Regions from separate parts of the Mus musculus genome. Here regions 1, 3 and 4 are each reported to be linked to region 2. The links are microRNA targets in miRTarBase. Many come from high-throughput screens and were not tested one by one. Region 2 holds a microRNA gene; each other region holds the end of a gene's coding sequence.
What was found. The annotated mature microRNA mmu-miR-882 reads AGGAGAGAGUUAGCGCAUUAGU and lies in region 2 at 4,537-4,558, opposite strand. An mRNA with a match to its seed (bases 2 to 7 or 8) in the 3' UTR can be bound and repressed. Matches are read on the target gene's strand: a 7mer-m8 pairs with bases 2 to 8, a 7mer-A1 pairs with bases 2 to 7 and ends in A, and an 8mer does both.

Region 1: miRTarBase lists Nhlrc1 as a target of mmu-miR-882. Seed matches in the 3' UTR shown: 7mer-m8 at 5,411-5,417, 7mer-m8 at 5,397-5,403 and 7mer-m8 at 5,389-5,395.
Region 3: miRTarBase lists Kcnk3 as a target of mmu-miR-882. Seed matches in the 3' UTR shown: 7mer-m8 at 4,610-4,616.
Region 4: the mRNA of Lyrm7 is a reported target of mmu-miR-882. Seed matches in the 3' UTR shown: 7mer-m8 at 3,993-3,999, 8mer at 4,735-4,742 and 8mer at 5,239-5,246.

The regions. Positions count from the first base shown.
Region 1 is chr13:47,007,434-47,015,345 of GRCm38, forward strand. Nhlrc1 (NHL repeat containing 1) reads right to left here and starts at 7,417. Exons shown (of 1, transcript NM_175340.4): 1 at 5,124-7,417. The coding sequence starts at 7,346. The coding sequence ends at 6,141. It also overlaps the pseudogene Gm5790.
Region 2 is chr12:109,678,853-109,686,764 of GRCm38, reverse strand. Mir882 (microRNA 882) reads right to left here and starts at 4,568; the gene lies at 4,492-4,568. AF357341 (a small nucleolar RNA gene) reads right to left here and starts at 5,246; the gene lies at 5,172-5,246. It overlaps Gm22981 (a small nucleolar RNA gene), which reads right to left and starts at 4,381; the gene lies at 4,308-4,381. It overlaps Gm25856 (a small nucleolar RNA gene), which reads right to left and starts at 3,771; the gene lies at 3,697-3,771. It also overlaps AF357428, Gm23736 and Gm23787.
Region 3 is chr5:30,619,988-30,627,899 of GRCm38, reverse strand. Kcnk3 (potassium channel, subfamily K, member 3) reads right to left here. Exons shown (of 2, transcript NM_010608.2): 2 at 2,630-6,009. The coding sequence ends at 5,063. Among named protein-coding and RNA genes, the nearest start is that of Mir5625, 24 kb to the left of the region's middle.
Region 4 is chr11:54,836,433-54,844,344 of GRCm38, reverse strand. Lyrm7 (LYR motif containing 7) reads left to right here. Exons shown (of 5, transcript NM_029327.5): 5 at 3,143-5,995. The coding sequence ends at 3,213. Among named protein-coding and RNA genes, the nearest start is that of Gm31490, 19 kb to the left of the region's middle.

The DNA of each region.
Region 1 (7,912 bases), not on the chromosome of region 2:
CACTGAAATCTGTGATCATCAGTTCTTGCTCATTTCCCCTGACATGTATGGGATTATACTTCCTTCTCAAGGAGTTCATGTAACTCATCTCCAGTGGGGTCTGCACCGCCTCCAAGTGGAGGCTCCAAACAGGTCTAAATAAGGACCGATCACATTTGATAGTCTGAGCCCTGCGTGCCAAAGCTAGAGTTTCTAGGAGAGTTAAGACTATGAACCCTGGGCTGGAGAGATGGCCCAGTGGTTAGGAGCACTGACTGTTCTTCCAGAGGTCCTGAGTTCAATCTCCAGCAACCACATGGTGGCTCACAACCATCTGTAATGGGATCTGATGCTCTCTTCTGGTGTGTCTGAAGACAGCGACAGTGTACTCACATATATAAAATAAATCTTAAAAAAAAAAAAAGGGACAAATGTCTTTTTAAAAAAAAAAATGCCAAAGGTAAAAGATGAGGAAAGTAAGATCTAGAGGCCAGAGTAAGGTCAAAATGAGCTCCCAGTGCCAGAGGAGACAAGGCAGAGGGTGGTGGGAGGCTGTGGAATGGGCACTGTCACGCATGTGGTCTCAGTAGATAGGGCAATGGCTGGTGTCCTGGAAGAGTTTGGTTTCCCTCATTCTTTACTTTAGGTCATGTTCCCCTCTCATTTCAGCTCTTTCCCATCACGTTTGGCACCCTGAATGATCTGCTGAAACAGAAATCCATTTCTTTTTTATTATTGGAGAATTCATTTGTAATCATCAGTTTGGTTTAAAGAACACAGCATGGAAGACAGAATTTACATCGACATCACAAGGCTGCTGACTTGAGGATGCTTGGAATGAAGAACAGCTGAAGTGTTCCGTATAACAGACTCACGGGAAGATCTGCCCTAGACACTTCCTGCTGTGTACCCTGACCCACCCTACTCCCAAGAAAGACAAGCCGCCACAAAGTACCAGGTTACAGTCGTCACATCTCCAGCGTAGTCCAGCACTGCGCCACAAACCTACACCTGACTCTCCATTGCAGACATCCAAGTGCCTATATGCTCTCTTAACTAAACAAAACAAGCACATAGGCTGTAGAGTAAAAGATGAAACTAATGGGCTGAAGAGATGGCTCAGTGGTTAAGAGCACTGGCTACTCTTCCAGAGGACCAAGGTTCAATTCTCAGCACCCAAATGACAGTTCACAATTGTCTGTAACTCCTGTTCTAGAGGACCTGACACCCTCACACAGACATACATGCAGGCAAAATACCACTGCTCATGAAATAAAAATAAATTAAAAAAAATTTTTTACTTAAAAAAATTTAAATATGTGATAATTTAAAAAAAAATTTTTTTTCAGGTTAGAGTATAATCACCGAGTTCCCTCTGTGCAACCACCCAACTTCTAGGAAAGAGAGAGCAAGGAGAGAGAGACTGGACTTTTGATCGAAGACTCAATGGAATGGGGGCAGTGTGTGGGTCCACATGATTTCTCAAGTCTTCCTTCTGCACAGTCGTTAGACTAACGCCCAGGTTTGTGCTATGAGTGAGCCAGCCCTGTGCAGGCGGCTGCACTGATTGTTCTCGTGAGTGTTTATACAAAATAATCATCTCATCTTCATTTAGTTTATAAACATGCACAGTGCTGCCCCTTTTAAATTGAGGAGAGAAAAGAAAGAAAGACAGAAAAACCACACAAATACTGCAAAGTAGAAAAATACAAAGAAAAAAAAAGCTACTTTCGGTTTTGGCAACATTAAAAAGGATGAGACATAGAGCAGAGGTGGCCCTGGCCCGGTCATCAGGTGTGTGAGTAGGACGCTGGGTGGGTGGGTGGGGAATCGGGAGTCGGGGAGGGGCGGGGGAGGGGCTTGGTCTCTAAAATTCAGAATATCTGGCATTTCAAATGTAGGAAAGCTCAGCAAGTCAGCAGACCTGCCAAACATCAAAGCTCCCTGAGGAAAAGCTCAGCTTTCAGGTCTGGGAGAGTTCTTACTGGAATGTGACCTATCACTGCCTGACAGATCTGACATGGAATGTCTCCAAATGGCAGTGTCTCCCTCTCTGCCCTCCCTGGCTGGGAGTGCGCCCAGGAGGAGCAGCCACCTTCCGTGGAGGTGGGCGAGCCTCGGGCAGCCATCTTCGCCAGCTGCTGCTCCAACTTGGAAATGCACTCGTCTTGACTGCAGGTTGTTTCCTTTATGGATTTGATCTCTTTCAGAATCTCATCCACCTTGGCTTCGTTTTGCACACTGGCCATGTCTGTGGGCTTCTTGGGGGCACAGTTGAGATTGCTCTTCTTGTTTGCAGCCAGCTTGCCGTCCAGAATGTTCTTCTTGACCACCTTGAAATCCCCGTTCTTGCCTGGAATGTACCCGTGCTTCAACGATATGAGGATGGGGTCTGTCTGCATTCTTCCCCCTCAAACCACTCCTCGGCCTCAAGGGCAACTTCCGGCCCCGCTGTGTCAGGGTACAGGTCGTCTTGGAAGAGGTCAGACTTCCTGGGGACCGTCATGATAATGGGCTCGTACTATCTCTCATGAAGCTTGAAGAATCTGGCAATCTCACACTTGTTGACGTCAAGGCCCCGCTTGGGCATGTAGCCCATCCCTCACTGAGGCTCCTTGCCGCTGAATGTGTGGAGGTAGTGGACATATGGGAATTCATCCGCGGACACTGCTGTCACCCTTCCCACATAAGTAGATGATGCTGGTGTCTGGGTCGTAGAAGGAGAGCAGCACTCCATTGCTAGTGTCCATTTCATGGAGAGCATTGGTTTCTGCATGTTTTTTTGGGTTCCAGAGCGTCAACTGCCGCTCGCTCATGCGGCTAAAGCCAGTAGTGAATACGTTGCCGTCCGCCAGGAAGATGGCACGCATAGGCCTGGCTCCTTCGTGTGCTTTCTCCTTCTCCACCGCCATCTCCTGTTTCCTGGGGTCAATGACTCTCATTTTCTTGTCTTTGGATGCTGTGCAGATGAGACTACCGTTACAGCTCCAGCTCTCGTTGTAAATCATGTCTGAATGCATATCATCCAAGTTGATGAGGGCTTCCCCTGTCCCCACGTTCCAGATGATAATGACATTATCACAGCCTGCACTGAGAAGCACAATGTGGGCCGTCGGGTGCCAGGCCACGATGCCAACTCTTTTTGAGTGGCCTTCTAGAATCACCACAGGCTCAGTCAGGGAAAGGGTCAGTCCATTTTCTGGGATCTGCCAAACCATAACAATGCAGGCCTCTGAGCCGCTGGCGATAACCTGATCGTTATGTGGACACCAGTCTATGTCCAGCACTGGTCCTGTGTGGCCACACACTGTAGGGTAGGATTTGTCAATTTGTCCCGTCTTGTGCAGAGGGAGCATCAGGAAGGCCCCTCCCCTACTTGCTTCTATGATGATGGCCACGAATCTGGGGTTGATGGCGCAAAAGGAACTGTCCCAGGTGACTCGGGAGACGCGGATGTCATCATAGCACTGATCATTCTTCACCGCCTGTCCAAAGACATGCCGGAACTTGCTCTGCCGCACCACTCGCCGCATCGTGTCAGAGCCCGGGTGCCTGAGGCGCCACCGAAGTCCCTGCTGCAAAGCCCCGAGAAGCCTCCATCCATCCGCTGCCGCCTCCCGCCTGGCACTGAGTGCCGCGCGGGGGAGGGGCGCGGCAACCGCTGCCCAGTCCTTCGCGCAAGCGTGCAGGCCCTGCCCCCCTCAAATCTTTGAATTGGGTCAACAGACACTAACATTATCCAAATGTAATGGTTCTGAAATAAAACACTGTAAGATCAATCCACAGTTGCTATCTAAGTTTTGCTGTTACATATTTAAAATAGCTGTAAAGTTACTGGTCTATGGTGATAATTTATCTGACTTTTTTTTTTTTTTTTTGAGGCAGGCTCTAACTATGTAGGTTGGTCTCATAGTGCTAGGATTTAGGTGTGTGCTACAATGCCCAGCCGAGGGCATCGGGATGAGGGAGAAGAATTCAACCACTGGGCTTCCTGTTAGAGGACCAGTGGTGTTGAGCAGTGCCCAAAATGTTACTATTGATGTTCTGGGATGGAATCAGTTAAAGCAACAGTGTGGGCAGGGGAGGAGATGTTTCGGGAGTGAAGATGCTTGCCACAGAGCCTGATGATGTGAGTTAAGTACCCTAGACCCAGATGGTAGCAGACGAGAACAGGCGTGTCACTCAAGCTGTCCTCTGACCTCGACACATGATGGCATGTGTACATGCACACAGGCACATGTGTGAACATACATACAATAAATAATAAATGTATGTAATAATTTAAAAAGAAACACAGGCTTTAATGGGATGGCATGGCAGCTAGGCCTTCACCTTGGGCTCCTGATGTCAGCATTCGTATCCTTTGGAAGACACTTTCAGTCATACTTCAGTGAGTGTCTCTATTAAAACCATAGGGGCTGAGTGTGGTGTGTGCCTTCAATCTCAGTGCTACAGAGGCAGAAGGCAGAGGAAGCAGGAGGCAGAGGAGGCAGGAGAGGCAGAAGGCAGGCGGATCTCTTGAATTTTCAAGGGCAGCCTGGTCTACAAGTGAGTCCAGGACAGCCAGGGCTACACAGAGAAACCCTGTCTATAAATAAATAAATAAATAAAAAATAAAATAAATCTTTGTAGAGCTAGCTGTAACTCAGTTGGTAGAACACTTACTTAGCATGTATGACGCCCTGGGTTCTACCTACCTCCAGCACCACAGAACCCTTGGTGTTGTGGTACTTGACTTTAATTCTGCACTTGGGAGATGGATGCAGGAGGATCAGAAGTGAAGGTCAGGCTTAGCTTCAGAGCATGTTCAAGGTCGGTCCAAGATGTACAAGACCTTGTCCCCAAACAGCCTCTTTGTATAAAAGGATATCATTTTGTTGACACAACATTAGTTCTTATCTAAAGCAAACTCTCACCTCTCAAAAGCATCCCCAGAAAACATTTTCATGCTGCCCCAGAGGTGTAAGTTATTTGGTATAATTCCAACATCCCTGAACTCAAAGATTTTTGTGCTTGCTTAAAAAAAAATAGAGAGGATCAGCATTTCACCCCAAATATTCTCCACTCCTCCCCTCAATTACAGCACTGAGGAGCCCTTACATTGTCAAGGCTGTGCTTCCATTCAAGACACGTTTCCAGCACTCTAAAAGGACGAAGACTGTTTATTAAGTACAGTGTTTGAATCACATTTCAAATTACACAGAGAAAAGCCTCCATCACAAAGTGCTTCAGGCGTCAGAGATTTACCACACCAAACAAAATCACTTCTGCCATCAATGTGCTGGGGCAAGATCTAATTAACACGAGTCTCATATGCCCATGACGCTAGCAGGCAGTGGCTCTGCAGATTTTTCTCAAATTATCACTGCGGGATAGTTCCCAGTGCCCATAGAGGAAGAAGAAAGAGGGGGAGAGAGGGAGAGAAAGAGAGGGAGAGAGAGAGAACACACTAGTCCAGCTTAGCCTCAAAATTACTAGGTAGCTAAGCTGCAGATTGCATTGAACTTCCTGCCTCCACTTCTCAGGATTTGGAGTTCTGGCACACACTATCATCCTGGCAGCCTTTGCCTTATAAGGAAAGAGCTCAACTTTGTTTCTTGTTCAAATCTTGGAACTGGTAATAAGCTATCTACTCTACCTTTGGGGGAGCTCACAGCTGAAGGTGATGGACAACTTCCCTTTTCTCCTAAAATCCCCATGAAGACCCCTTTCTTGTCTTTGTGCACTTTACCAGTTACCCACTTGTAAGGAGAACATACATACATAAGACACAGCTCACAGTTTTTGTTGTTGTTGACGACATCTAACATCATATCTAAGAGCAAGTGGTTTGGAGCCAGAACTGAATTCAACTGTCCCAGTGAATACAACTCTAAAGAAACCATACTGAATGCTCTGGGTCTGTCTTCTCATCTCCCAAGTGGACGGATAATAGGAATTAACATCGCTGTGTGTTAAGAAGCAAACAGGCTAAGATCTGCAAATTTCTTAACACGGGAACAGGCATTCACCGAATGACAAATTTAATTATTAGTCTTTTAAAACTGCCTTAGTAACTGCTTTTGCCATTCAGTTACCATTACTTCTGTCTGGATGGATGGGTGAGACCAATTCACTCCCAATGACACCAAGATTTCTGACTCCTGGCTTCAGGATCCCCATCACCCTCCGTTGCCCTCCATCACTTTAAAGACTTTTATAGAATGGGATGCAGTATCCAGCACAAGAAGAGAATTCTCCTTGGTGAAGGCCAGTGCCACAGGACGGGAGAGGCCGTGAGTGATTATAGGCTTCAGGGCTGGGAATTCTTCGGGTTTCCCCAAGCAGACGATGGCTGGACCAGAGGTGTCAGCAACAATCACGTTTCCTTGGTGATCGAAGGTCACAGCAGAGGCAGTTACTTTGGAGGGGAAGAGGAGGTTCAGCCCGAAGCTATCCACCTGGCCAATCAGCTGCATAGTGGAGTTGAACACCTTCACCCTTGTGTTGTTACAGCCAGTCCTCCCAAAGGCACAAGGATGCTCTAGGACCGCGATGGCCCCCGTGAGCCATGACACTGCCAACCCACGGGGACTGCATAGGTGAGCTTGCAACCTCTCAATCCTCCGAAGGACCCCTTCAGGGAAATCCGCTTCCAGCAGGTGCAAAGTCCCTGCCTCTGCATCAGTCACCAGGACCCCATTGTGAGGGGTGATCTCCACACCCCAAGGCAGGGAAAACTGCTTTCCCACAACCAGCTTGATCTGGCCAAAGAAATCAAACACTTTGAGGGAGCAGTCGCCAGCGTCGGTGACAACCACATGGCAGTCGTTGGTGACGGCGACATCCAGTGGGTACTTCACGTCGTGCGCTGCGTCCCCCTTTTCTCCAAACTGGTGTGCACCTCCTCCTCCGGAGTCAAAGATCTTGACCCGTCTCTTCCCGTCGTGCACGACCACTACCCGTCCGGTCTTGGGGCACAGTGCAAGCCCTGTGGGGTTCACTAGGGTCCCCCACCCGCCGAAGGCGTGGTAGCAGGTGAGAGTCCCCGGCGCGAAGGGGGCGGCGCTGAGGGCAGCCGGGGACGCGTGGAGGGTGGAGCCCAGGAGCTCCAGGAGGTGCAGCACCGGCAGGCAATCGCTGGTGTCACAGGCTCGGCAGGCCCGCCGGCAGAAGGGACACTCGAGGCCCAGCGTCCGCGGGTGCGCGAGAGCGGCGACACAGGCCAAGCAGACCACGTGGCCGCAGGGCAGGTTGCGCGGGCGCCGCTGCTGCCAGTGGCCGAACCTCTCGAAGCACACCTTGCACTCCAGCAGGCTGACCTCCGCCTCCCGCACCAGCTCGGGCCGCACCCCAGCCGCTGCCACCGCCGTCGCCTCCTCCCCCATTGCTCCCGCTGCTCCGCTGCCTCCGCGCAGCCCTCAGTCACGGCCACGGTCACGGTCACGGAGCGGGGCATGCGCTCTGACGCAGGGCGCACACTGCCACCCCCTGGCGGACGCACGACGCAGTCGTCCGCATGCGCCGTGCGCAGACCTGGGATAATCACGTCACGGGTGGAAGATTCCAGGATTAAAGATTGAGACATGTCAGCGGGTGTGGGGGCGGGGTGTGATGAGTGGGTCTCTCCGTGTCCTCCTGTAAGTGACAGCTAGTCTCTCAGGGATGGTGCCCAAACGGACTGCCAGTCAGCTTCGCTGGGAGGTGGGTACCAGGGCTAGACAGGAACAAGACATGGCTCCTAGTCTCTGTATAGTAAGATTCTGAAGACAGAGACACAAGAAAGAAGATAACTTCAAGGGGCAGATGTGCATTCCTCTCTGCTGTGTTTTTTCCTTCTTGTGAGAAGGTAGCTACGTAGACGTCAAAGAATTGGGTGTGATAGTTGTGATGCCGGGACTCAGGCGGCAGAAACAGGAGAACAGCTGTTGGTGGTTAGTTGGAGGCCAGCCTA
Region 2 (7,912 bases):
ATCGCTATTAATTACTTAATTATCATAAACCCTATGCTTAGAAACTACCAACCCCACAAAATAAATAAATATGACTCTAGTAATTCCTAATCTGTGCATGGAATTTCTATAATATGTCCATCATGTATCGATGCACACAGGTTCACACTGTTGAATGACAAATGGACAACTATATGTGGTCCCCCTAGCAACCAGTGGTATTCAAATGGTCATTACTGACTACACTATACACTGTTTCAACACTGTCTTAAAACACTCAAACCAAGACAAGGATAATCCTGCAACTCACACTGGTCTTGTTCGTCTCCTCAAGCTGGTGCAAATAGAGTGCTTGACCATTGGAGGGTCCTCTAATTAGATGGTCCACCTTGAGTACAGAGAGAATAAAAGGGGAGGGGAGGGGAGGAGAAGGGAAGGGGAGGGGAGGAGAAGGGAAGGGGAGGGGAGGGGAGGGGAGGGGAGGGGAGGGGAGGAGAGGAGAGGAGAGGAGAGGAGAGGAGAGGAGAGGAGAGGAGAGGAGAGGAGAGGAGAGGAGAGGAGAGGAGAGGAGAATGAACTACTTAGAGAGCACTACAACTGTCCCAGGATCTACACGGATGAATAAACATGTCAGTACACAAGAGCATCAACTTTCAGGAAAGCATACAAACAAAATTTTGCTTTAAAAAAGTTTTCTTGCTTTCTCTTTGATTATTTTTTTTGTCATCTGAGCCACTCGTGCAAGCTATCATAACTTAAAAATATTCATACTATTGTCTTCTAAAAATGAAAGTCTTCAAACTTCTTGCAAAGCAATGAAATAGTATCTGTTACTGATACCATTTCCTCCACAGACAGAAAGAGTTGAATGCTACTTACTCGCTTCTCTTTGGATTTCATATTTTCAGTGTAATAAGGTAATTTTTTTTGCCTTGATACTCATGTTCATTAGTGAATAGACTTTCATTCATTTCTCTTCATTGTTTTCTATATTTATTTACTATTCAAGAAATTAAAATAGTAGTATGTTTTTGGTGAAACCAGAGGGAAGATCTGCTGAAGGAGAGACCCAGAGGCAGGCACATGCACAGCACCCTGGACTCATACTACCTGCGCTCAACATGAATCCACCCTGGCTCTATTCACTTTTATGTTTAGATTGAATCATTAATTCACTAATAAAAATGAAAAGTCTATTTATTCCTCCCAGTACTGAAACACACTGAAAGACACTCCTCTAAAGATCCAGTTTACCTCCAAGTGTCTCTCTCCTTCAATGAGGAGCCGAAGAGCATCAAACATAGCCAACTCATTGTCCTATTTCAACTAAAATCCATAGGCATCACTGGTTGTATTTGGCTGAATTAATACAACCATAGTTAAAACTTATTTTCAATGAATATATTCACTTGTGTTTATGAACATGCATGCCAAGGGCATGTGCATGGAGACAAGGGCTTAATATCTAGGAATCTGTTCTCTCTCTCTCTACCTTACCAGCTCTCTTAGATATTTTTAAATAATGAAGTAACCAAATTTCAACAGACTGCATAAAAAGCAGGGATAGTAAGTAACTAGTACTCACACTGCCCCATGTTCAATGCAGAGGTGCAAATGTTCCACTGCTGATCATAGAAAATGCAGACATCAGCCTAGGAGCACACATTCTGAGGAGTACAAAACAGAGCACAAAAGAAAAAAAAAATGCCATTGTCCTTCAAGGACCTTTGATTATCTACCTATCTTTTGGGTTGGACCTCTGAGCTTCAGACAAGTGTTATTCGTCATCTCTCTCATACCTTGGTAACTATCATCATTGGTCCAGAAATGGCTTGACCTTTCCTCGTTCTCATAGATACTATTTACTGGCTAAGCCAATAATTCACTAGCAATGCTGGTGATACACAAATATTCAACAGGAGCACAGCTCTCTGATATATTCAGACTGTAGTATTCACAGCGCTATGAAGAAAGTGCTATGAACCATCTTCAGACATCGTATTTACTCAGGACACAAGCCCATCTTCACCCCAAAAGACAAAGTAAGAGTAGACCTGTAGGATTCTATTTCATGCTTTGTAAAGTTACAGCCATAATAACCAAAACATCGACAAAATGTATGGCTTTTACCCATGTTTACCTTGAGGCAGTCATTAAACATAGGAAATCCTGCAGTCAGCTCTCAGAGGCGCGATGTGGGGAACAACAAACAAAACAAAACAAAGCATTTGTTAAATGACTTTTAAAAGCAGATAAAAGAGCAACAGCTTTCAGCTTTGACTTACAGAGCCATATATCTAACTCATGACTAAATAATATGAATGATTCCTTATGTACTCCAGAACGTAAACTTCGGCTATAGGATGTAATGTTTGCATTATCATTAATAAAAGAATAAAGAGTAAGGAGTTGCTCCACACAGACCCGACTCAGGACAGGGTGGTAGGGACTTATAACTAATGTGGTGGTCAACCATATTATTTTCCTTCCACCTTTTCCCAGGGGCAGCTGTGTTGACTCATATGAAGTTTCTGTTTTAATGTTTGAGGGTCACTCACTACTCATAGAATGTATGCTGTAAAAGATTAGTGAGTGGCACACGACCCTGGACACGTGACAGACTTTCTCAATGTCATTATCATGGACAATCCAAGCCAAGTACAGTAATATGTGATTGTGGCTTCAAGTTTAGAAGAACCTAACAATTATAAATATGAATCACAATATGGAAACAAACTCTAATATGCATAGGTTGTGATATGCTAAAAATGATTTTAACATATATAACATAAATTTTCTGAGGAAAAAATGGAGACTATAAGGTTAATACGAAATAGAAAAGAAATTGAAAACCTCTGTGGCAGCTGGACTGTGCTTGGTTTCAATTTTGAAGTTAAAAGCTATTGCTGTATGATTGATCTTACACATGCCACGTGCACAAGAACTATGTGATATGACCATGGGGTTTTACCATGATCTGCCCGAAATGTGAAACTAAAGTGAATACCAGTTGTAGTGGTGCTGAAGGGACATCAGAGGAACTCTCTATGACAGGAAACTTTTGCAATGACATCAGTCAATCAGCCTCTGTGGAAAATGAGAAAGACCTGTTAGTAAGCCATTAAAAAAAAAAAAAAGACAATTCACAGGACACACAAGCAGAGATTCACTCTATGAAACTGGGTGTACTGCCCCCTTTTAATGAACTTAATGAATCTTATCAATGATAGTTCACTTGACTGATTTGATAACGAATACCTGTCAAGACCTAGAACCAGACTCCATAGGAGAGAGAGATGCTGATTTGTGACATGCAGACTTGGGGTGGTGGTTCACCATCACCAGGTCAGCCTTTCTGAGGAAAACAGGGGAGAAAAGGGACAGAGAGTGTTGAGACTGTGGGTCACCATGCCATGTTCTCCACGGTGACGTCACTCAGGCTGATGGGCTTTGCCTGAGCTGTACCTGTACATTTTCTTCCCAGAAAAGACTAATTTCTTTCCACTTGAAGGAAAAAAGAGCTGGGTCCCCTCTATGCTCTGGCATGCTGCTTAGGGTCAGCATCTCAGTACACCTATTTCTCAACATGCCCTTTGTGAGGTCCCCATGCAAGGTTGTGGTTCTGCACAATTTAAACCAACTTCGACTACCTGTCAGCCATGTTTCCTTGCTAATGGAACTTACAATGGAGGGCAGTTCAGCTCAAGTGGCTCTGTACCTGACTTCAGATTTCTCTTGACATGGATGCCATCAAGAAAAATTCAGATGCCACCAGATCTCATCATTGTTCTGGGTTCCCCTCTCTCAGAATTGACTCATTCTTGGTAAGTGTGGCATCACACTGTGTGATCCACAAGCTAGCACTAAGTTAACACTTTCTACCCATATCTGCTTGATCACCGATGCTTTGATTAAATCTCCATACCTATAAGCAGGTGCGCACAGAAGGAACAGAGCTGGAGTTGACAAGTCACCATGGGCTGTGGACTGTTGCCATGGCATCCCAGGAATTGTCCATTATCCATAACTCTACCATCACTAGAGTCACCTTCCTGGAGGGAAGAAGGCAGAAAAAGGAAAGGAAAATTGAGACGCTGTCCCTACATTGTCCCAAAATTGCTGCATTTCAAGCATGCTATCTTGTAGGCTTTCTCTCAAAAAAAAAAAAAAAAAAAAAGTGGGTGTGGCCTTAAGGCTCCTCTGACGAAATTCCATGGGAATATTTCAAGCTACATGATCAAAGAGCAATCAAGCCCTCACCTCACACCACAGGTCCACAAGGGACGGGCATAGACCTATGGGCCTCCATCCAGAGCTTAGCTCTTAGCAAGGCATCAGATTTCTGGATACTTGGCGTTCATGGAGTATCACTCAAACGCCACCAGATCTCATCATCGGTCCTGGATGGGGCTCCCTCTCTCCCTAGCCAACTGCACACCTTAATTGCTTAGTGGGTGCTGAGGGCAGAGCTCTGATCACAGGGTACTAGAACATTCTGTGTGGCAGCCCCTGAAGAGCAGCCATTAGAAAAACCCAGAAATCAGGACTAACTATTGCACTAATGCGCTAACTCTCTCCTGGTACTGCTGTAAGGAAGACACAGTTTCCTGCCACTAAACGTACCTGCAAGCTGGTGGGCAAGGAAGATCAAGATGTTGCCTCTTGGTCGGCAAAGCTCTGAGATGTCACAGTGGTGATACAAGGGTGGTTCTATATCTCAGCATGCTGGTACCATCTGTTGGGTCGCCATTTCTGCAGGGTACAGGGCAGAGAGGAGAGAGTCAGTGTTGAGACTCTGTGGGCCACCACCCCATGTCCTCCCCATTTACGGAGCCAATGGTCATGAGCTGGGCCTACTTTGCACTGAAACTTTTTTCCCAGGAGAGACTAATTTCTCACCAGGGGCCAGAAAAAAGGATTGGACCAAGAAGAGGCTAAGGAGTCCTCCATGGGGTCAGCCTATCATCTCCCCAATCTATCAACATGCCTCTTAGATCTCCCAAGCCATGCTGCTCCCCACCAAGCCCTAGGTCATGGTCCTACCAACTATAACCCGACGTTGCTTCTCTGGAAGTCCTTGCCTAATGGAAACTGATCAGTTTAAGGAGCAAAGGTGACACAAATGATCCCGCTTTCCTCGATCTCAGGCTATTAGTTAGCACCACAAGGCACACAGCTGAAGTTGCTCTGTGCCTGACCTCAGACATCTGTTCTCATGGCTGTCATCGAGATACAGTCAGATGCCACCAGATCTCATCATAGGTCCTGGGTTGGGCTCCTCTCTCTTGAGGCTTCAGGAATGGCTCATTCCTTGGCTACTGTGGTACACTCAAGAGACCACACTGTAGGAGGCTATCCTGTGCTGTGGGGGGGCTTGACACTGCCTGGTCCGCAAGCTAGCATGAAATTAACACTTTCTCTCCATAGTCTGCCTGACACCCATTTTATGAAGAGACCCTCCATACCTGTAAGTCAGTGCCACACAGGAGGATCACAGCTGGAGTTGACATGTCACCATGTACTCTGGATTGTTGGCAAAGCACCCAGAAACTGTCCATCACAGCAAACTTCTCATATCACTTGGGTCAGCTCTCTGGATGTTGGAAGGTAGAGAAAAAATAGAACTATTGAGACATGCTCCCAAGTTTGACCCAGGATTCCTACATTTCAAGGGCACTGTCTTGTCAGCTTTATCTCTAAGGGAGTGGTTGTGGAATTCCAGCTCATCCAAGTAGATTTTCAGGGCCCCTCTGACCCAGTTCCATGGACAGACCTCAAGCTGCCCCAGCCTTGATTCTGAGGAACATGATCAAAGAGCACTCAAGCCCTTGCCTCGAAGCACAGGTCCACAAGGGACGGGCGTAGACCTATGGGCCTCCATCCAGAGCTTAGCTCTTAGCAAGGCATCGGGATTGACCTCAGATTTCTGGATACTTGGCGTTCATGGAGTATCACTCAAACGCCACCAGATCTCATCATTGGTCCTGGATGGGGCCCCCTCTCTCCCTAGCCAACTGCACACCTTAATTGCTTAGTGGGTGCTGAGGGCAGAGCTCTGATCACAGGGTATTAGAACATTCTGTGTGGCAGCCCCTGAAGAGCAGCCACTAGAAGCCAAAAATTACAACCAACTATTGTACTAATGGCCTAAGAGTCTTCTGCTACTGCACTAAGGCAGAAACACTCTCACCACTACACATACCTACAAGCTCATACCTTAAGTGAGGAAGATCAAAATGCCGCCTCTCAGTCAGCAGGGCTCAGGCTGTCACGGTGAAGACCGAAGTGGGTTCTGGTTCAGAGTACACTTGTGCCATCAGTTAAGTCAGCTTTTCTGAAGAGAACAGGGGAGAGAAAGGAGAGATATCTTTGAGACTCTGTGGGATACCATTCCGTGCCCTCCACAGTTACAGAACCTAGGCTCATAAGTTTTGCCTAGGCTATAATTGTATTTTCTCTTCCCAAGAGAGAGTAATTTCTTGCCATTTCCCAAGAAAAATAAGCTGGCCTCTGTCTATACTAAGTCATCATTCATGGAGCCAGAAAATTATCGGCCATCGCTCCACATACCCCATGGAGTATTTAAGCTGTGCTGCTCTGCCTGTAGGCACAGGCATGGGGGCACCCCTTCTGCTCCAAGTTTGCCTATCTGCCAGCCACGTTTCCTGGCCTAATGGAAATAAGTTGCAGTCAGAGCAGTGTTGAAAAGTATGTTGTGTGTCTTAGGCCATGGGCAAACACCAAAAGGCAGCCCAGTTGTAGATGTTCTTTGCCTGACCTCAGATATCTGTTCATGTCATCGAGAAACACTCAGACACCATCAGATCTCATCATCGGTCCTGAGCTAGGCTCCTCTCTTGAGGCTTCAGGAATGGCTCAGTCCTTGGCTACTGGGTACACTCGGAAGACTACATGGTAGGAGACTATCCTGTGCTGGGGCACCTCACTGCCTAGTCCTTGAGCTAACTAGATTATTTCTTTTTCGACATACTCTGCCTAAGCACCCAGATTTTGGTGTTTAGAATAGATTCTCTGTACCTATCAGCAGGTTCCAACCGAAGGATCAAAGCCGAAGATGTCAAGTCACCATGAGCTCTGAATTGTTGCTATGGCATCCCAGGAACTGTCCGTCACTGCAAACCTTTGAGATCACTTGGGTCTTCTCCATGGATGGTAGAAGGCAGAGAAAGAAGTAAAAATCTAAAGACTTGCTCTCAAGATTGTCCCACGATTCCTACATTTGAAAGGAAAACCTGGCTTTCTCTCTAAGGGCGTGGGGTTACGTTCCCTCCAATACAAGGAGATTATCAAGTCATCTAGGATACCCCATTCCAGCCAGACGTTCTGCACTAACTTTATTTTGAGGAGTATTACTATCAAGTGACTTCTCTAGCATTTGCTACCATTCTTATTTACCTTTGGAACCTCATTTTAGCCACCTAACTTCAATTCAAACAACTCAATTTCCTGTGATAACTTTATGTAAACACATGTCCATGAACCAAAGATTCACAAACTATAGCCTGTATGTGTTGGGCTGTATCTATAACTTGTCAGTAAAGTACTCAATGTCCTTGACCTCCAATATCTGTTTATCTCATATTCACAAATCAGTACTTAAATGATATAATATAATTGCTTCATCTCGTTCTTTTCTGTGTCAGCCACATCCAGTCTTTAATTATTCATATGGTGAACTCAGAGATCACCAATGTTAAAATGTATGTTAATTACCCTCCAATTTCCATATATATTTGATGATATATATTTGATGAATCATAGATTCCATGTCTTCAATATTATAAGGATTTGCTTTGACAATCATGACTTACAACATGAACTACTTCAACCTAACCAAGACTCATGTGGACCTTGTTTCCCTGGGAGGATCCATCCCTCATTTAGATACTCCTTTATTGTTTTATTGATATTC
Region 3 (7,912 bases), not on the chromosome of region 2:
TCCTTTGGCAAGGGTGGGGGGAGAAGCTGGAGGGCAGTTGCTTCAGCCACAGGGGGACACTGAGTCCACCCAAGGCTGGGCTTGTTAGGCTGTGGAGGAGAGGGAGCCTTGGTCTCATACTCTTCAATGGCCAGACCTTTTCTAATGACAGTGACCACTGCCAGGCAGTGAGCAATATGATGAGTGAGGGCACGAGCTTCATCCACCAACATTAGCCCTGGTTCCATGTTCAGCTTTGCTATCAACTCCCTGCCTGCTGTTAGACCAGTGGGCTGGCTGCTCTGAACCTTTTTTTTTTTTGGTACATAATGAGCTTTGCTAGTGTGTATTTCATGTTGTTAGAGCTGCCAGTTACAGATGACTTACCAATTATTAAAGTTTATATTTACCTGTTTGTTTATTAATTCATTCATTTATTGAGAACTTTATGTAACCCAGGATGACCTTGAACTTGCTATGTAGCCCAGGATGACCTTGAACTTCTGATCCTTCTACCTTTATCTCCCAAGTGCTGGGATTATAGGCATGTGACGCCTTTAGGCAGTGCTAGAGATCAAGCATTGGCTTTGTGCATGCTAGGCAAGTACTCTACCAACTGAGCTACATCCACAGACCCTAGTTGGGGATAAGAGGGAAGGATAAGACCTACTTCCCTATCAGTGATATTGTGACAGCCGAGGAGGTCCCCAAGTGTGCCCTGGGAAGTCTGGGAAGTATCAGGCCAACAGAGGATCTGGTATGGAATGAGTTTGAGTGTTACTCAAAACGAGCAGTGGTTTCGCTGCAGGTCTTCTAAAAACTTTTACTAAGCTTAGAGTTTTGTGGAGTTCAGACAGTGGTGATGTGTGCATCCTTCTTCCAAATTCATTAGAGCAAGGACTACCCTTCTCTTCCTTCTTGGTGTTTTGAGACAGGCTATATGCAGGCTGGCCTCAAACTCATGCCAATCTCCCTGCCTTAGCCTTCTGAATTGGAGATTGCAGGCATGAGTCACCAAGCCCAACTTAGCACCTCCCCTATGAGCGGCCACTGGCTTGCTTAGAGAGGAGCTGCCATTGCATCCCTCTTTTCTCTTGGCTCCCAGGAAGCTTATTCCCATTGACTCTCACCCAAATCCCAGTGCTGGTGGGAACTTCAGACATTTGCTCCCGTTCCCTCTCCTCTGCAGGCTTTCAACGTCCATTTTCCTGTGTCTTTCAGTTCAGGCAGCCTCAGAGGTGAGGAGGTTGGGGGCATGTGGGGGGGGCACTGACAGTGTCTGGACACGAAGATCCTGTGTTAGTGCTGAGCTCTGGGTAGCTCTGGGTGGGACTGGGGTGCAGGCCCCCTCTAGGAATCCCTGCAACATCTGTTTGTGATACTTTGTCCAGGGCGATGTTGAAAGTAGGGCAAGAGCCATGTTTGTGTCCCGCAAAGCACTGCTTAGGAAAGTCCAAGTGACCATGTGCTGGACACCACTGACCTCCAGAAGGACTCACCTCTGCTGACGCTGTATCTCATAGAGCTGAGCAGCAAACCTTTGGGCTTTGATTAAGACGAAGTAGTCTTAGGAGTGGATGAGCCAGGTTTTTACTGTGCCCAAACAGAGGCCAGTAGATTACCAAGAAACATGCCATAGAACCTGCCTGCTGTTACTTCAAGGGATGCCTAGAGATTCATCCCAGGGAGGCTGGTGTGTCCTGGAAAGGGCACAGGTTTTCTTTGAACCCAGAACCTCTCCACAAATATGTCCTATCTCTCTAGTTGGTCTAAGTAGATAGAAGGAAAGATTAAGGGAATGTGTCTCTAGCCCAGGTCCTTGTTTCTCTAGCATGTCTTTATCTGTGAGTAAAGGGAATCAACCAAATAGGTCCCAGGTGGCATTTAAAACAAGGAATAGAACGGATATGCACACCCTGAATGTGGTAGGGTGGTTGTGAGTCATGGCGTGCAGACAGATTTTGGTGCCAAAGGTATTACTATGGTTCATGCTTAGGGAAGCCTGGATACCCTTGGCTAGTTGAGTCAGGTGTTGGTACCAACTGGGCACAGTGCATCTGCTTTCTATATATCTGTCTTGGGCTCTAGGGTCCATCCCCAAGCATGTGCTACTCTAGACCATGAGTAGCACACCCTAAGAAAAGGTATTTGTGATGTGCCCATCTTTGAAAGTGATATTAGTGTGTGTGTGTGTGTTGTGTCCATCAGGCTACTGGGGTCAGGGAGGAGCTGAGGTCACCCCTGGAGGCTGGGGCATGTCCTGTTTGACTCTGCAGTCAGCTGAGGAGACAAAGTGGGGAGTCACCAGCTTTGCTTCTTATCCTACCTAGGTTGCCATTCATGGCTGTGTGACTCAGGGCAAGTTACTTGCCCTCGTTGGCCTCGTTTACTTGTGTACAGAGGGAGGAAAGGGCCCAGTCATTTCTAAGGTCCTGTTCTCACAGTCTGTTCCAGGAAGACGGAATCTTCTGAGCTCTGGATCTTTTGAGAAAATCCTAAGTGAAGCCAGGCTTCACTCCCAGGTTTCTACACAAGAAACCTGCACCCAAAGCAGTCTGAGAAGCCCCAGGGGAACGCACTAGGTGAGTGGTGGGACAGGGTGACAGGGTGACAGGGTGAATGACTAATGACAGAGGAGCGGGAACCAGAGCCTGGTCTCCATGGACAGCATTTATTAGGCGCCATTCTCAGTGTGAAGACAGATGGGCAGGAGCTGCTGAAAAGGGGGCCAGGGCAGCCACAGCCTGGGGACTTAGGGGCTGCCCGGGTGGGTGTGGGGATGTCACCCACACATATTGCATATTCTGTGGCAGTGTGCCCAGGCATAAGGCATTGGGGAAGCAGAAAGGCTGCCTGCATGGGAGGGGGTGAGACAGGAAGTGACAGTGGCCTTCTAGTTCCCTAGGCAAAGACCCTACAGGAGACCAGCAGTCCCCCATGCTTAGACCCTAGGGCCACTCTGCTGCCTTCCCCACCCTCTCTGTAACTTTGGTTGTGGCTCCCTCGGATCTGACGGGACTTGACCCCTCGAGGGCAGGGTCACACACAGGACAGAGGCAGCCAGCACTGCCTCCAGCCCAACATAAACACAGACAGCACCTCTCCAGCTGCTGGGTTCCATTCCCCCTTGACACAGGGGCCAGCTCCTCCACACGGACATGGGATACACACAGGCCAGATTCCTTCCACCTAAGGATTTCCCAGGACCTGGAGGACATGGTGGGGCTCTCTCTCTACCTCCCCAAATGGTCACATTGGCCTTACTCAGCAGTATGGAGCTAGGCCTGGGAACAGTGAGCAGAAGGCAGCTCTGCAGGGGAAAGGTTTCCCTTTTCATGGTACTGGGAATAAAACTTGGGGCTATACCCATAGCCCCACACATACCCTTCTGTTGTCCTGGTTTCCACCTCCAGCTTGTCCCCAGTAGCAAGCCACCCTCCACTGGGTTGCAGGTAGAGGAGGTAGAAGGCATAGCAGGCCCAATACCTCCTTCCCTCCAGAGGGGTGTTCCTGGCTGCAGTGGAAGTTACTCTAGCAACTTAGGATGCATTTATCCTGGCTTCTAGGCCAGGGAAAACGTCCCAGGATATACCTGTCAGCTGTCTGGGCTGCTCTGCCCAGTCCCTGAACTCTCAAGAGTGCCAACTGCTGGCTTGTAGTCCATGAGACTCAGTCCTTCTTACCTTGGTCCCAAGGACTTCCCTGCTTGTGAACAGAGACAAGGGTCCATTTAGAGCCTCAGTCTCTGGGCTAAAGAGTACCAGAGGCAGAGCCCTGGCAGTGGCTCAGGCTGGGGCTTTTGATTCTGGTTTAAACCCCAGCTGCCTACACAAAGCTGGGGTGTTGCCTGCAGGGGCTTCGCTTCTGAGGGCAGGCTGAGCCTGAAGAAAGAGCACTTGGGCTGGGAACAAGCCGGCAGGCTGTTCCCCTTCAAGACACCCCGGGCAAGTAAAAAAAAAAATTTTTTTTTTTTTACCTGTTTTCCTCTTCTGAAAAATGGCCATAAGAACTGCCCAGGTGACTTAACTAGAGTGTTATTACACTCAAATGAATACGGAGGTGGCACAGGGTTTCTGGGACAAAAAAACAAAAAACAAAAAAACAAACAAACAAAAAAAAACAACCTATGGACGAGTGAATGAGCAGCTGCAGCCAGGGACAGCAAAGGGGAGTCCATGTTTTAGATTCCAAGGGCAGTCCTGAAGGCTGGAGTCTCTCAGGAGCCCCTGAGAATGTTCCCAGACTCCAGGTGGCTCACCTACAGATGTCCACCCCGCAGAGGTGGAAGCCACAGTTTCTGCACACACTCTGCTCTAACATCTGTGGCCTGCCCTTTTTTTTTCTTCTTCTTTTTTTTTTTTTTCTTTCTTTCTTTTTTATCTTGCCCTCTGGGGACTAGCTTTAGGGGCTGCTGGGGTTTCCTTTTTTTTTTTTTTCTTCCATAACTGCATAGCCATGCAAAAAACAGAAGGGAGTGGACACGTAAGGTAGTGGAAGGCTGGGAGACATGGCTGGGGATGAAAGCCAGGTGGGACTGAGTGGGGGTGACCTGGACAAAAACACCTTGGGCTTTGGAGAACCCAGAGGAGGTGTAAGTAGAAGAGAGAGAGAGAAGGAGGGAGGGAGGGAGGGAGAGAGAGAGAGAGAGAGAGAGAGAGAGAGAGAGAGAGAGAACCAAACCAAAACAGAAAACAGAAAACAAAACCCGAGAACATTAGTTCCCTCCGGAGGTGAGGGGTCTGGGGCCCCCGTAGGGCCTCTGAGGACTGGGGGCTTCTCAGCAGCTCCCCGTGGCTGCTTTCCGGGCTCCCCACCCCCTAAGTTTCACATTTCTCGGAATTCTTCGGCTCCGATGGGGGCTCCAGGGGTCCTCAGAGCCCCGCCTCCTGCTGGCTAGTGATAGCCTGCACAGTTGGAGATTTAGGGGCTGGGGAAGAGTAGAGGTGGTGGTGGTGGTGATGGGCTGGGGACTTCCCATGGGGCCCGAAGGCGTCTTTGGGGGGCCTTCTGGCCAACTCCTGCGGCTTCTGCAGGCAGGTCCCCTACCCCTCTGGCTCACAGGTGCTCCAGGTCTGGCTGTGGTTCACACCGAGCTCCTGCGCTTCATGAGGCCGCGGAAGGCAGCCAGGCTGTGCAGGCCCGTGGACACCGAGCTGATGGCCGAGCGCTGCGTCCCGCTGCACAGGCAGGGGTGTGAGGGCGTGTCGCTGTAGCGGCCGCCGCCTCCCGGCGACGAGTGGCTGTGCTCCACGCAGGTGTCGGACGTGGAGAGGTCCCGCGGGATGATCATGGGGATGGAGTACTGCAGCTTCTCGCGGCTCTTGTACCAGAGGCACGAGCACATGGACTGGAAGTGCAGCACCTCGGCATAGACGTTGCGGAAGCCGCTGCCACCGACGCCCACGCCCACGCCTCCCGCGGCCGCAGCGCATGTGACTGGGTCGCGGGGACGCACGCCGTCGCCCAGGCTACCGCTCAGGCAGCTCAGGCCACCCAGGCCGACAGCCTGGCCGTTGTGCGTGAGCAGGGCGCGGTGCTCCGCATCACGCTTCTCGTCCTCGGCGTTCATGGTCATGAATCGCAGCACCACGAGGTTGAGGAAGGCGCCGATGACCGTGAGGCCCGTGAGGATGTACACGAAGCTGAAGGCCACATACTGCGGCTGCGTCTGCAGCGCCTGGTCCTTCTGCAGCGCCACATAGTCGCCGAAGCCGATGGTGGTGAGGGTGATGAAGCAGTAGTAATAGGCCTGGAAGAAAGTCCAGCGCTCGTAGTAGGAGAAGGCAGCTGCGCCGATGCACAGCGTGCTGATGCACGACACGAAACCGATGAGCACCATGTTGGCCATGGACACCTCGGCGTGCCGCATGCCCAGCCCCCTCTTGGCACGGTGCAGCAGGTACCTCACGAAGGTGTTGATGCGTTCACCCAGGCTCTGGAACATGACTAGTGTGAGCGGGATGCCCAGCAGCGCGTAGAACATGCAGAACACCTTGCCTCCGTCCGTGCTGGGCGCCGCATGACCATAGCCTGTAGAGATCCGGGGAGAAGAGAGAAAGCACAGGCTGTGGGGCTGGTCTGGCAGGGGTCCCTCCTCCTCTGCCCATCCCCTTCCCTCCCCACTTTGCAGGTTTTGGACTTGGCTTTTCCTCCATTTCCCCACTTCTTTCTTTGCTAGGGTTTAGATATGTAGCCATGGCTAGCCTGGATGTCTGAATTTGTAGACTAGGCTGGCTTTGAACTCACTACATTGCTCTTTCTGCCTCCACCTTCTAAGTCCTAGGGTAACCGGCTTGCACCACCATGTCTGACGCCTCCGGCCCTAGCTATTGAGTCTGCTTTTCCATACGTGGGCACACCCATGTCCAGCGCTTCGGGCTAACCTTTAGTTTGTAACACGAAGTACTGGGATGATGATTCCAGAAGGCTTAGACTTTTCCAGGTCACATTGCCTGGAAGTTTAGCAATCCGAGTTTGAACTTGAATCTGCTTTCTTGAAAACTTGAGTGTCTCATGCCTCTTGGGAGGAGCTGGCTCCTGGTTCTGCTGGAAGGCTTGTCAGTAGGCAGGAGATAATGTATGTGTGTGAATGTCAGGTAGTCAGTTGAGAGTTGGCTTTCTGTGTAATACCTGTGGGCTCTGCCATGCTCTCTGTCCTCTGTGGGCCTCAGTGCCCGTGACTATGAGGGCAGGTAATTGGATGGAATGGCTTGTGACATGATGATTCAGTGCGGAGGGACGGAAACTGAGGCACACAAGGCCTCTTGATGGTGTCTCTGCTGCAGCCAAAGCTTATTGGTGGTGGTGCGGTGACCACTGGCAGCTTGCAATTTCCCTGAGTGGTTGGCCTAGCAATGGCCCAACCTTATCCCTACAGCTGAATTAATAAGTGCTCGGGGGGATTCCACCTTGTCTAAGACTGGGGTCTTCTTAGGGATTTGGTTCAAAAGTAGACTCTGAGTGTGTGCCTGTGTGCGAATGTCTGTGTGTGTGCGCGCGCGCGCGTGCGTGCGTGCACCCATGTGTGCATATGTGTGTGAGCGCACGTGTGTGTATGTATGTGTGCATGAGGGTGCCTGTGCGCGTGCGCATGTGTGAGTATGCCCGTGTGTGTATGTGTGTGCACATACCCATGTGTGTGCATGCATATGTGTGCATGTGTGTGTGAGCACGTGTGCACGTGTGCACGAGTGTGTCATTATCCTGCTCCTCTTCTGCCTCCATCCTCCACATTTGTGCTTATACTCTTCCCATCTGGGAGCCAAGCAGAGTCAGACCTGCCCCTCTGCACATCAAGTGACTATCAAAGTTTCTGCCTTGAGCTGGGTAGAGTGGCGCATGCCTGTAACCGCAGCGTGTGGGAAACTGAGGCAGGAGAGAGTGAGAGTTGGAGAGATGGTCTGAGCTACAAACCCTTCTCAAAACAGAAACTGCAGCAAAATCTTCCTGGCGGTCTGGGGCGGTGAGGGACGGTGGGGGGCAGTGGGGGGTGGTGGGGGGTGAGGAGTCAGGAAGGGTCTTGGATGAGAACCAGAAGCTTTGGGCACAAGCTCTGGCCTTATCCCTAGTGGTGTTGTGACCTCGAACAAATGACTCTTTCTCTTTGATCGTGTCTACTTGAAAATGAAATCTGTTCTGGTCACGTGCTTCTCCCACTTAGACCAGTGAGCATAAACACTTCAGTTTTTATTAAGAGAATTATGAGAATGAAAGAATGTAGGCAGAATTTCCAAGTATCTTTTCTTTTCTGGGTCTTAGGAAATCTCAACCAAACACTGCTTCTTCCAGGTAGTCTTCCTGGATTCCTCCTAGCTGAAAGTTATTAGTGCTTTATTTGGGAAGTTCTGAGAAGGCTTATTTATGAACTCCAGGTCTCCCAACTACATAAAGCTAAACATTAACTTTGGGGGGGGGGAGCCCTGGCAAGCCTGTA
Region 4 (7,912 bases), not on the chromosome of region 2:
CTTCTTATTCTTTTTTTTTTTTTTAAGATTTATTTATTTATTATATGTAAGTACACTGTAGCTGTCTTCAGATCTCATTACGGGTGGTTGTGAGCCACCATGTGGTTGCTGGGATTTGAACTCAGGACCTCCGGAAGAGCAGTCAGTGCTCTTAACCGCTGAGCCATCTCACCAGCCCCCAACTGTAACTTCTTTTTTTTTTTTTTTTTAAGATTTATTTATTTATTTATTATATGTAAATACACTGTAGCTGTCTTCAGACACTCTAGAAGAGGGCATCAGATCTCACAACGGGTGGTTGTGAGCCACCATGTGGTTGCTGGGATTTGAACTTTGGACCTTCGGAAGAGCAGTCGGGTGCTCTTACCCACTGAGCCATCTCACCAGCCCCCCAACTGTAACTTCTTTTGTTAAACCACTGTTTGGTGGACTTCTGGTTATTCAAAACTAGGCATAGTCTAAAGTAATATTGATAGGTTTAGTAATTTATTCTTCAGTGTAATAGCTCAGATTCTTGTATTTTCACTATAAAAACCATTTGTGAATCCTTATGCTATAGAGTGGCTGTGGTTTGTCTTTCCCAATAGATAATGAACCCCTTGAAGCCAAAGAAACTTTTTTTTAAAATTTTTGTTTATTTTTGAGACAGGGCTCTCTATTATGTAGCTCTGGCTGATCTGGATTTGCCTTATAGACCAGACTGGCCCTGAACTCACAGAGATCCATCTGCCTCCCAAGCGCTGAGACTAAAGGCATACAGCACCACTGCCCGGCTTTGTTTTTTGTTTTTTTGGGTTTTGTTTTGTTTTGTTTTGTTTTTCTCTGAGACAGAGTTTCATTCTATAGCTCTGGCTGTCCTGGAACTTGATATGTAGACCAGGCTAGCCTCAAACTCTGAAAGATCTACCTCCCTCTGTCTGTCTTCTGAGCATTGGAAATAAAGGTGTGAGCCATCATGCCCTGTCCCCTGAATGCACATTCCTTGAATATGAAGGACAGTCCTTAACTATAGTTTAATTATCAAAACTAGGGGATTCATGGAATACCATTGTTTAAATTTTTTCTTTCCTCCTAATAAGGCCCTTTGTTTTTTTGTTTGTTTCTTTGGTGTTTTGTTTTGGTTTTGTTTATTTGTTTTTTGAGACAGGATTTCTCTGTATAACTCTGGCTGTTCTGAAACTCACCCTGTAGACCAGGCTGGCCTCTCAGAGATTTGCCTGCCTCTGCCTCCCGAGTGCTAGGACTAAAGGCACACCCACCACTACCCAGTTAACAATGCCCTTTCTAGTAGGAGGAACCCCTTTCCCCTGTGGTCCAGGGTGCTGCTGAGTTTCCTGAGTCTGGAGCAGTTACTTATCTTTCATCACTACCTCTAAAGATTGTAGGCAGGCTCTGGGAAGAGTGGTTAGGGGGGCATTTGCTCTCTTGTTTGACACAGAATTTCATATAGCCCAGGCTGGCTTAAACTCCCTGGGTAGCTGACTTCTGATTCTCTTTTCTCTACCCTGAGTGCCAGGATTAGAAGTATGTCCCACCACAGCAGCTGGGCTGAGTGAGCACAGGGCCTTGTGCATGGAGGCAGGCACTTTACTAATCCAGGCACATCTCCAACCCTGCTTTTGTTGAGACAGGTTTAACTAGGCTTGTCTGGAACTCATTGTATAGCTCAAACTCTGTTCACAGTGACGGCGATCCTCTTGTCTTATCCTGCAAACTGTTAAGATTACAAATGTGAGCCATCACATTGAGGCTGTGAGGATGGCCTAGCTGGGTCCTGCTCTTCCCAAGAAAGGGGGGTGGGTGATGTATCTCACTGCCTTTTTTCTTTTTAATTGTTTTTCAGTATTGAGTATTAGACCCAGGGCCTTTAAGACAGGGTCTCACCACAGTGCAGACCAGCCATGGCCACGCTATGTACTGCAGGCTGGACTTGAGTGCAGGTCTCACTGCCTTTGCCCATGATTCCTGGGATTATAGGCACACGTCAGCAGATGTGGGCAGTTTTCTCTTTCTCTCTTTTTTTTTCCTTTTCCATTTTTCTGTGTGTATGGGTGCATGTGCACCCCTGAACCTAATAGTGGGAATTGCCCGCCTTCTTTTTTGTTTCATTGAAGCAGGGTTTCTTGGTTCGGCACTCAGTTCCCTGACAAGGCTCATCTTCCTAGGGGATCTGAACTCTTCCTGTAGTAAGCACTTTAACCGATGAGTAATCTCTGAGGCCCCAACGCTGTCTTGCCTAGCAGTCAGCAGTTGGCTGTTCAGCAGTGTGTCTCAGTGGGGACACCACTGTCACTGTGTGTCTCAGTGGAGACACTGCTGTCACTCTGCCATGAAGTATAACCCTCTCTGCCCCAGACTGTCTTTCACACCACAGTTAGCATCCTTGGCTCCTGCCCAGTAAATTTTTGGTAGCATCCCCTAAGTGGTATATCTGAAGACTCCTTCGGTGAGGAGCCATTGTTCTAGGGGACAGGGTGTAGCTCAGTGGTAGAGTATACACTCTGCAGCCTGTGAGGCCCTGGGTTCCCAAGGCCCAGGAACAAGAAGGAAGGGAGGGAAGGAGAAGGGCAGTTGTGGGAGGGGAGGGGAATCATTCTATAAATTTGGAATGTCTGAATTATGAGAGTGATGTCTTGCTTTCTATAAAATTTTTCAAGTATCCAGGCATGGTGTGGTACACCTGTAACCCCATTGTTGGGAAGTGGAGGCTAGAGAATCAAGAGTTCAAGGTTAGCCTCAGCTACATGGGGAGTTCAAGGCTAGCCAGAGCTACATGAGATCCTGTCTCAAAAATCATTCATAGGTGACATTTTTAAAGAGCCATTGACAGATTAGTGTGTTTTTAGCTTAATTCCATTCAGTCATTTATTAGTTGTGTTTAATGAAATGATAAAGGATTTGGTTGTATATGTTTTTTGTAACACGAATGAAGATCGTATTAAATGTTTCCATTTAGACTCACATAGTCACCTCAGACATCAGCTGAAATAAAATGTCTGTAGAATAGTGCATGCTTCCCAAATTACACAACTCACGGTTAGAACTGCTGGGGAGACGGATGTGCCGGCCCCAGGTCTACTTTAAGATAAGTAGTGACTGGAGCTCTAACCGTCTTAACCGCTCATTTCTCTGTTCCTTTTAGAACTGGTCCCCAGGAAAGATCTTCTCACAGAAAATGTGCCGTACTGTGATGCGCCAACCCAGAAGCAGTAAAGCTTCCAGGATAAACCCATCTCTGCTCCTTCCCACTTTAAATACATACCTGGCAACGGTCCTGGACATGCACATGTTTCTCTCTGAAGCGCACGTTGCAAATGAGCGACAGGCTGAGGGCTACAGAGGAGATAGACATGCCTTTCACTGACATGGGCAACTGAAGGCCTGGGGAGGCAGGACGCTCCTCTCTTTCCCTTTGGTAGGTCTTTTGGTCTTCCAAAGCTGTTTGCCAATGAAGCACCTTACCAAATTGGTGACTTTTCATCTCATGGGACATACATAGCTAAATATAAAATGCTACATTAAATTGATGTTTAATCCCCAAAATATTAAGTTGGTAAAAAATTAACATTTTTCTTCCAGCTCTCGTCTAAAAGCAGCCATTGTTTCCCAAAGTCCCGTGGTTATTTTTGCGGCTAACAAATAATTATGTAGTGTATTTCTCTGCATTCTTACAAAGACAACGTTCCCCTTTTTGTTTTGTATGTATGGGTGTTTTGCCTGCTTAAATGTCTATGCACCAGGTGTGTATGCAGTGCCGTGCCTGCAGAGGTCAGGAGAGGGAATTGGATCCCCTGGGACTGGAGTTATAGATGGTCATGAGTTTCCTAGAAGAACAGCCAGTGCTCCAAAGCACTGAGCCATCTCTCTAGCCCCATGTAAAGACATTAGATAGATGAAATATCAAAGTCACTCTGGGTCACTGTAGTGGCCCTCTGTCAGATGGCTTGTGGTCTTTGTAGACTGCTGTGAAATGCTATAGATCTCTCTCTCTCTCTCTCCCTTTCTCCCTCCCTCCCCCCTCCCCACCTCTCTTTTGAGATAGGGTCTCCCTGTGCAGTCCTAGCCTTGAACTCTAAGATCCACTTGCCTCTGCCTCCCCAGTGCTTTACATAATTTGATCTCTAGTGTTCCAAATAAATAATAGTAATAATAACAATTGGATTTTATCAAAGTTAAAAACATTTACATAACGATTAGTGAACAATTATAGATGAAATATCTGTCATATATATGATGATTCTATAAAACATATGTTACCAGGTATGAAAAAAGAGTTATCAGACTATATAAAGGACTTCAAATATTCGAAAGCAAGCAGGGGCTGAGATGGCTCAGAGGTTAAGAACTCCTGCTGCTAGGACCTGAGTTCAGTTCCCAGCACCCTTTCAGGTAACTCGAAGCTGTCACTCCATTTCCAGGGGATCCTGTGCACTCTACTGGCCTCTAAGGGCACTGCATTTACATGTATAGACTCAAACCAACAGTGACACACAGATGCATAATAAAGGAATCGTAAAACAAGCAACTCAACTACAGAGAAGTGATTTCCTGTTTATTGGTGCCTTGCTGCTTTGTGTGTCAGCTTACTACTTGCATGCCTGGTGCCCACAGAGACCCCATAAAGGTTGTCGGATACCTTAGAACTCCTCTCTTACAAAGGGTTGTGAGCCGCCGTATGGGTGCTGGAAATTGAACCTCGGTCATCTGGAACAGTGTTTCTTAACCACTCAGCCATCTCTCCAGTCCCTCAACCCAACTTTAAAAGTAATATTTGAACAGATGCTTCATCAAAAAAGATACATGGAAGCTGTCAGGGTTGCCAGTTTTGGAACCCACAGGATGGAACGAGAGAACCAAATTCTGCAAGTTCGTGCTTCATGCACACACAATCACAGTTTTGAATTTTTTATTTTTTGGTCTTTTGAAACAGGGTTTCTTTGTGTAGCTTTTTCTGTCCTGAACCTCACTCTGCAGACCAGGGTGACCTCAAACTTACAGAGATCTCTGCCTGCCTCTGCCTCCCAAGTGCTGGGATTAAAGGCATGCGCCACCACGACCTAGCTTAAGTTTTCTCTTTTAGATCTTATATTTATTTGTATGAGTGTTTTGCCTTCATGCGTTTTTGTGTGCCACTTGCATCTCTGTTGTATTACAGATGGTTGTCAGCCAACATGTGGGTGCCAGAAATGTCACTAAGGGTCTTGGCAAAAGCACTAAGTGCTCTCAACTGCTGAGCCATCTCTCCAGCCACATTTTTTTTTTTTTTTTTTTTTTGAGACAGGGTTTGTCTGTGCAGCCCTGGCTGTCCTGGAACTCACTTTGTACACCAGGCTGGTCTCGAACTCAGAAATCCGCCTGCCTCTGTCTCCTGAGTGCTGGGATTAAAGGCGTGCACCACCATACCTGGCTACAAATTTTTAAAGATATGCAAATGACAGATATAGTGTGAGAAGTTGCTAGTACATTAACAGGCACTAGGAATTAAAATCATAGTGACATAGTTATGTGTCTATTAGAATGGCCGAAATCTGGATGGTTGACAATATCAAGTATTGGCAAGGATATGACTTTTCTGAGACAGGGTCTCACTGTGTAGCCTTGGCTAGTCTGGAACACATTATATATTTTTTTCCTTATTTTATCAAATCCCTAAATTATCCATCATCCTATTGGCTCAGGACAGATTCAAGTTTTATTGTGATGGTTGTTTTTGCACTGCTGTGATAAAACAGGTGAAGAATAACTTACGGGTTTGTGTTACAGCATGATTTCATTCCAATACCTTAAGGCGACACCTTAACAAAACATGGTGGCAGACAGGAAACACTTGGCTAACTAAGCCTGGCAGGGAGTGGGTGGGCAGGCATAATGTTAAAATGACTGTTTCTAGTGACCTACTTGTGCCAATCAGGTTCCACCTCCTAAAGGTTCCACATGCTTCAAAATAGCCCTATGAGCTGGGGGAAATAAAAACAAAAAACAAAACTGTGGGAGACATTTGAGAGTCAAATTGTAACCTGTGTGTGTGTGTGTGTGTGTTCGTGCACTTGGGTGTGCACCTGTGATTGCATACATTTACATGCTATGACATACATGGAAGTCAGAGAATAATTTGGGGAGTTGATTCTCTGGGACTTGAACTTGGGTTGTGGCAGCAAGCACCTTTTTTTCTACTAAACGGTCTCATTGACCTGCATTATATGTGTACCTTGAGTTGGAATTGTGAAGGCCTGAGGCTATAGCTCAGTGGTATGAAATTTGTCCAGTATGTACAAGGCCTGAGGTTCAATCTCCAAGAAAACCAGATGAAACAGAATGAGTGAGGATTGATAATTCTGTGCGGAGTCTGTGGAGTATGGGCGGCAATGTCCACACAGACTGTGCCTGTCTTTGTCAGGTATCCCAAGGATACCTGGAGATTCCCATGCTGCTCTGTTAATGTAAAAAAGAACGCTAGGGATGTGGGTGTGGTTCTGTTAGCTGAATGCTTGCTTAGTGTGTATGAAGCCCTGAGTTCTATCCCCAGCACTGCCTAACCCAAGTAATTCCCCGAACTTGGGGGTGGGGGTAGCAGCTTGAAGATCAGAAGTTCAAGGTCAATCTGAGCTTCATAGCAGGATTGAGGCTAGACTGATGTGTGAGACCCTGTTCAACAAATGATGAGTTTATTAGAGTATTGTCTAGGGGGCTGGAGAGATGGCTCAGCGATTAAGAGCACTGGCTGTTCTCCCAGAGGACCCAGGTTCAATTCCTGCACCTACATGGCAGCTGGCAACTGTAACTCTAGTTCCCAGTGACCCGACACCCTCACACAGACATACATGGAGGCAAAACACCAATGCACATAAAATAAAAAATAAAAATATTTTTAAATTGTTTATAAGATGTAATACACAATGTGATGTGGTTCTATCTTTTATAGTCTTTTTAAAATTCATTGTGTGTGCGCACGCACGTGTGCGTGCGTGCGTGCATGTGGATTTGTGCATGTGAGTGCAGAAGCCTGTGGAGGCTAGAGGTGTCAGATCTCCTGGAACTAAGAGTTATGTATGATCATAACCAGACTGAATTGGGTGCTTGGAGCTGAAGTCAGGTCCTCTGGAAGAGGGAACAGTGTTCTCAACTCTCCAGCCCCCAGTCTTACTATCTTAAAGAAATATAAGTGCGGCTTAAAGAAATATTAACTGGGGCTGGCCATGATCATGTACATGTTTTAATATCAGCACCCAGGAGGCAGAGGTAACCTGGTCTACATAGTGAGTTCTAGGACAGCCAGAGCTATGTAGAGAGACCTCCATCTCAAACAAAACAAAATATAAAATGGGCCTGAGAGGTTAAAATATGTACTTCTCTGGCAAGCAGCAGAACTCAAGTTCTGCAGGTCCCCAAACCCAGATCATAGTGACTGGCTCCAAGGGGTGTGACACCCTCCCCTCCACTCTCCAGGAACCTGTATTCACATGTGTGTGACTACACATATACACACAGGTAAAGACAAAAGCTAAGTATAAAATAACTCTAGACCTAACTCTGTTTTAAAGAATATGAATCGAGGTTTAATAATAATTTTGAGATGGGGTCTCATATAGCTTCGATTAATCTCAAACTATATTCCAAGGCTGACCTAAAACTTCTGATCCTTCTGCCTTCACCTTCCCACCCGGGGCTGGGATTACAGGTGTGCACCTTGTGCCTGCTTCGGGGGAAAATCAGCTCTTGCTGGTGATGGAGGGGTACTCCGTGGGAGCGTGAGCTTCCAGCCACACACAGCTTACATAGATTCAAAAACAAAAAACAAAAACCAGGAAAGTGAAAAGACTAATGTTTTAGCTGGGGTTCCCAGGGACAAAGATGCTCGTGGGAGGTTTAAATTAGAGAACTCTTGGAAAGTGAAGAGGACAAGATGTAGCAG